2 separate regions of the Mus musculus genome follow, and region 2 is reported to be linked to region 1. Evidence: microRNA targets listed by miRTarBase, many of them from high-throughput screens and not tested one by one. Region 1 holds a microRNA gene; the other region holds the end of a gene's coding sequence.

Region 1 (3,129 bases):
ATATACTATTTCAGGATCACTAACTTGAGTCCAATACTAACTTAAACTTGTATTTGATGATGGCTCAAATTCTTAGTGAATTATTAAACTTAAAAGTAGCTTTGCCTTTTCACTATTCTCAACAACAGTCTATGAGATTCTAGTTTGTGTACATCCTTGCTAGAGCTTACTAATATCTTAGAAATGTTTGTGTGTGGTAGTCAGAGGATGACTTGTGAAAATCAGCTCTCCTCACCATGTGGATCCTGAAGATTGAATTTACGTCTTTCAGGCTTGGCGATAGGCAACCTTATTCCCTGAATATATATCTCTAGTCCTCATTACCTTTTTTGATGGATAGCTTTAATGGATGTGTGTTGTCCTGTTTTGGATAGGTATATTCATAATGACTAAAGAATGATAATTTAGATCTTTCCTGTACTTATTGGGTATTTGTGTTTATGAGCCATATCGTCTCTGCTTCTAGATCAGTAGCTGTCTCAGCTCTGGTAAATACCTCTTGCCTGGTTTTTGTTTTTTGAGATTGGGTTTTAATTTTGTAGCTTGGTTTGGCCTCAAATTTACAGCAGTCCTCTTGTCCCAACCTCCCTGGTGCTCTTAATGAAAATCTGTTGACCTTGAATATGGCTTTATTTTTTGAACTGTAACTTACATGACATTGAATCAATATGTTCTTGCTTATCTTTGTAATCTTTACTATTAGGTCACTACATAATTCATTTGTCTCATGAACATCTTTTCCTACTCTTTGATAATTTCACGTATATTTAATGTGCCCATAATTTTGGCTACGATATCACACACCAGCTATAAACTTTCATTTGGTCATTTCATACTGGTACTCTGGGAACTAGGTTTTTGGATTGGGGACATTTAAGCTTCAGTATTAGACAGTGGTAAGAATGTAATTTCTAGATCTTATAACATATTGAATTAGAGGCTTATAGCCCAGGTGTATCATATAATACAATGAAACTACAATATAGGTCATATATGTAACTGTTCAGTTAAACTTCATGTTCAAGTTAAAGTAGTGAAAATCTAATATTTTCTTTTCCCTCATTACACAGGAAACCGGAATTACAAAGGAGAACGGCTTCCTGTGATGCTCAGCTGTGATTACTTTCAACATTCACCCTGGATGTTCTCTTCACTGTGGGATGAGGTAGTAGGTTGTATAGTTTTAGGGTCACACCCACCACTGGGAGATAACTATACAATCTACTGTCTTTCCTAAGGTGATGGAAAAGTCTGCATTCATGGGGTCTCATAGGAAACCAAGAACAAACTGCAGTGTTTTAAAGTATATCTTGCCTTAAAAGCATTTGCTTATGCTATGCATGCTTTTTAATTTAACAAGTAGATGATGGGAATGGGCAAGTTTTTACTTACTTTGCATTCTGTGTCAATGTAAATGAAGATTTAATTTTGATTGATGATGATGATTTAATGTTAACCTTTCTTGAAAGAGACTGATGCTTATTCCAGAAGAAAAACTTGCTCTATCAGAGTGAGGTAGTAGATTGTATAGTTGTGGGGTAGTGATTTTACCCTGTTTAGGAGATAACTATACAATCTATTGCCTTCCCTGAGGAGTAGACTTGCTGCATTGTTTTTATCTAGAGGATATTATAAAACATAGGTGAATTCTGACCTTTTGTTTTATTTTACAGTTCATTTCCTCAGTGCAATAAACATTGTTATAACATTTTTAGTGTTCATGTTTAAAGAAATTTGGACAAATATCTGAATGAGAAAAGTAAGTATCTAGGACCAGGCCTTTTGGGATTATTAATAGATGTATAGTTTTATATTTCTGTTACACATGCCCAGAGAAAGATGTCACAGGTAAATGGGCATACCAACTGGAAGGGTACTGCTGGACTAAATTGAAATCTGGTTATTTTATTATCATACTTAAAATGCTCTGAGTATTAATATTACTTCACTGGTATATTGATTTGGACAGACACAGGAAAGAGGGGCTCTGGCTTCTGTCTTAGTTCTCCTAAGGCCTCAATTTTACCCACAAGACAAAGGAGTCACCCAAAACTCGGTTTGACAAAGCCCATAATTGGTAGCTTTAAAGAAAATATGAGAGGGGTATTTTAAAAGGTGACTTGAATGTTAGCAGTGTTGATGGGCTCATGTTTCAGCTTTTTCTAGTGCTCAAACTATCTGTTGGACCTTCTAAGCAAGGCCAAAAGCTCTAGGTTTTAACTGTTTGCTGTAGTAAAGAGAGGGGGAAAGGCAAAACGTGGAAGCAAGGGCAGTTATATCTAACTATAGTTCAGTGCATTGGTATAGTCAGTATGATCTTTTCATGAATAAAACTCCTTTGGATAAGCTCAGGTCAAGTGATATATCCTGAACCAAATGTAAACTTTTTATTTAATAATCTTGTGTAGGTGGACACTTTGGAAAATTTGGTGTTTGTTACATACAAAACATTGACCACATAGAGGAACAGGTGGGGAATATATACGTCTTATTTAATGCCAAAGAAAAGGAGAAATGTTTAAGATTCTTTTTGGCTTAATCTTTTTGCTTTTTGGCTTTTTCTTAAGTTGACTGCATAACCTACCTGTTGAATGTATTGCAAGTAGCCAAGGAATTTTGTGACCCCTTATTCCTCCAGCATGGCTATCTACCAGTTTGCAGTTTTGTAACATCCTTTACTGAGGCCTGGGGATGATTATTTATATTTTAGTTATGAATTGCATGAGGACTAACATCCTTATTATACCAAATAGATGGAATTTGTAGAACTGGTGTATTTTGTAAAACCACTGAAGTGACTATGCAAAGTGATAGAATCACTTAAAACTGGTCTTTGCCAGTGGTAAAAGTCATGACCTGAATTTGCTTCTGTTTTAATTCAGGCATCAAAAATTGAAATAATGGAGATGCTAGTTATAAGTGAGAAGTATGTGGCCAGTAAATGGCAAAAGCTTTAGGCTCATTTGTTTGACTTGATAAGTAATTTTCTGGTTACCAAGAGGCCATTTTATGAGAGTTGATATTTGAAGTTTTGATAATTGTTTTAAATAAAATATACAGTGGGCTGAGTGTTAGAGATTGTTGGTTTCTTTTTTAATCCTCTGATTAAATTGGATTAATTTTTAACAT
Region 2 (3,076 bases), not on the chromosome of region 1:
CTCAGTATTCACAGTTGTAAAGTAGAGGCAGAGCCAGAAGCCACCTGGCAGGGACTTTTGGTAGCATCGTAAGGGCCTGTCCCTGGAAAGCCCCTGCTGAATGCCAACTGTTCTTGACCTTGGCGTCCCTCTAATGGATGGGCTTCTCTGCCGTTTCACAGGTCTCCAGCCTCCCCGATACCAAAATCGAAGTAGCCCACTTTATAACAAAACTGCTCAGCTACACAAAGCAACTGTTTCGCCACGGCCCCTTCTAATGAGGAGAGACCATCCCTGGGCATCTCAGCTGTGGACTCATTTTCCTTTCTCACATCAGACTTTGCTGGGGAGAGGCAGGGAGGAGGGTTGAGGAGGAAGGGAGATGCCTCAGCTTTGGCCTCAGCCTGCACTGCCTGCCTAGTGCTCAGGGTCTCAGCCTGGCAACACCCCCACCCCACCCCCACCCCCGCCGCCCCATCCCATCCCTACAGAAAACTGCAGCAAGACCGTGAGTCCAGCCTGTGGCCTGGTCCACACAGGGCAACTGAGGCAGGCAGCAGCTTGAGCACATTTCTTCTTGATCTTATTTATTATGGTTGTGTGTTATTTAAATGAGTCTGTCAGTATCCCGGTGGGGACATGGTTTGCTGCCTATGCCCTGGGGGCTCCAGCATTGAAGCAGTGGGCTCTGGGGTCCCTGGCAATATTACTGTATACATAACTCTGCTACCTCACTGTAGCCTCCAGGTCTCACCCCAGGCAGGAGATGGGAGGGGAGGCCAGAGCAACACTCCTGTCTGCCACGGCAGCAACCAGCCCTCAGCCATGAAATAACTTATTGTTTTGTTCTTATATTTAAAGTATTAAATAGCTTAGCAAAGAGTTAATAATATATGGAAGAATGGCCTGTTACACTCAAGGTGATGTGTAGTGAATGGGGGGAGGGTGGTGGGTTTGTCACTGAACAAACTTTTCATTGACTGTCAAACTAGAAACCGGAAATAAAGATGGTGACAGATAGGCCTGCCTGCTTTGGCTGTCTTTTTTTGGGGGGCCCTGGGGGATGCTGCTCTGTGGGCTCCAAACTGAGGAGCCCAGTGTGGGGTAGGCTGCTCAAAGGAGAGATAGGAGGAGTGATGAGCAGGACCTGGGCTGAGAGAGAGTAAGTCCTCTGGTCTGTGGCCGACCGAGGAGACACGCCCCCTGTCTACTGTGGGGGATCCGGGGGAGCTTGGGCCAGGAAATGTCTGGGGCAAGCGGGGAACCTCTTGGGTATCTCCTGATGACTGGCCAGCTTTGTCTGTACCACCCACACAGTCTCAGGTCTCCCTTGCCACCCTAGGAGGGCACATAAGAGCCCGAGGCATGGGCTGGAGAGATGGCTCAGTGGTTAGGAGCACTGACTGAGCCAGGCAGTGGTAGCACACGCCTTTAATCCCAGCAGATGCAGATACAGATGCAGGCGGATTTCTGAGTTCGAGGCCAGCTTGGTCTACAGAGTGAGTTCCAGGACAGCCAGGGATACACAGAGAAACCCTGTCACCACAAAACAAAAAAACAAAACAACAACATCAACAAAAAGAGCCCGAGGCATGATGCGGGCAGGAGGCTCGTCCAAGGCATGTACTGGGAGGAAATAAAGGCTACATTCTGCCTCCTCTTTCAAAAGTCACCCGCCTAAATGCATGGCTCTTTCCAGTATACTGCCTGTTTGGATGTCCCCTGGTGATGAGACATTCACCACTTACTTTCTAAGGACAAACTGTTCAGTTTTGTACGCTGGGATGGACCAGATACATGTGGGGACTAGGGTAGACAGACATGGAAGACAGCACCTCAGAGCAGGTGGCCTGCCTCTCCCTTGCTGGCCCGCAAGCTGGAGTGTTGGGAACGGCTGCATCAGTAAGCGCTAGCTAACATGATGTCTGGTGGCATCCTTGGGAGGTGCTGCCCAGAGCGGAAAGCCACTGAGAAGGGCAGGAAACTTGTGTGGCAGGCGTGGGGTGGGGGTCAGGGACCGCTCAAACTCTGAATGACAGCAGGAGCCCTCCTGGAACAGGCCAGATCTGAGATTCCAGTACTCAAAGTTGCATGTCAACCCAGCAACACCAGATGACATGGCAGCAACTTAGCCAACGCATGGGGAATAGTCTCCCCTTCCTGCCTCACAGCTGACAAAGAAGAGAGGCAGAAGAGACCAAGCAATAGCGCCCAGAGCCAGCTACTCTGCAAGAAAGGGAATATGGATAGCAGGGCAGGACTGGCTTCCAGTCCTGCCAGAGAGGTCACCTTTTCTGAGGACTATCTGTGCTGGCACAGCACCGGCCACCCAGATTGAGTACTGAAGGACATGGTGCCAGACAGAACTTACAAAGGCAGGGAAGAGGATGTCTCCTCCATCTTTCCTGCTGGGAGCCCTGCTGGAGAGTTCGGGGTGAGCAGTGGCCTTCTCTCCTCCTTCTCTACCCATGGTCTAAAATCAAAGATTAAATGGACCATTTTTTGTTGGTTTTTTGCTTTTGTTGTTGTTTTGGGTTTTTTTTGTTTTGTTTTTTTGTTTTCTTGGGGTTTTTTTTGTTTGTTTGTTTTTTGGTTTTTGGTTTTTTTTGAGACAAGAGTTTCTCTCTGTGGCCCTGCCTATTCTGAGACTTGATATGTAGACCAGGCTGGCCTCAAACTCGTATTCACCTGCCTCTACCTCCCCAGTGCTGATATTAAAGATGTGCGCCACACTGACCAGCTTGCTTTGCTATTTTTAAAAAAGGGTGAAATGTGTATGTGTGTGCGCCCATGTATGTACATGTATGTGCATGTGTGAGTGTGCATGTGTGTGTGACTGTGTATGCATATACATATACATGTGTGTATGAGTGTGTGTGTGTATGTGTGTGTGACTGTGTATGCATATATATATACATGTGTGTATGAGTGTGTGTGTGTATGTGTGTGTACCCATGTATGTACATGTATGTGCATGTGTGAGTGTGCATGTGTGTGTGACTGTGTGCATGTGTATACATGTGTGTGTGTGTGTGTGTGTGTGTGTGTGCGTGCGCACTCGTGTAGATAAGCTAGAGGACAACCTTGGGTGTTATCC

What was found. The annotated mature microRNA mmu-let-7a-5p reads UGAGGUAGUAGGUUGUAUAGUU and lies in region 1 at 1,162-1,183, shown strand. An mRNA with a match to its seed (bases 2 to 7 or 8) in the 3' UTR can be bound and repressed. Matches are read on the target gene's strand: a 7mer-m8 pairs with bases 2 to 8, a 7mer-A1 pairs with bases 2 to 7 and ends in A, and an 8mer does both.
Region 2: miRTarBase lists Il13 as a target of mmu-let-7a-5p. Seed matches in the 3' UTR shown: 8mer at 706-713.

Annotation. Positions count from the first base shown.
Region 1 is chr13:48,536,293-48,539,421 of GRCm38, reverse strand. Mirlet7a-1 (microRNA let7a-1) reads left to right here and starts at 1,150; the gene lies at 1,150-1,243. It overlaps Mirlet7f-1 (microRNA let7f-1), which reads left to right and starts at 1,505; the gene lies at 1,505-1,593.
Region 2 is chr11:53,629,246-53,632,321 of GRCm38, reverse strand. It overlaps Il13 (interleukin 13), which reads left to right. Exons shown (of 4, transcript NM_008355.3): 4 at 162-999. The coding sequence ends at 257. Among named protein-coding and RNA genes, the nearest start is that of Il13, 3.9 kb to the left of the region's middle.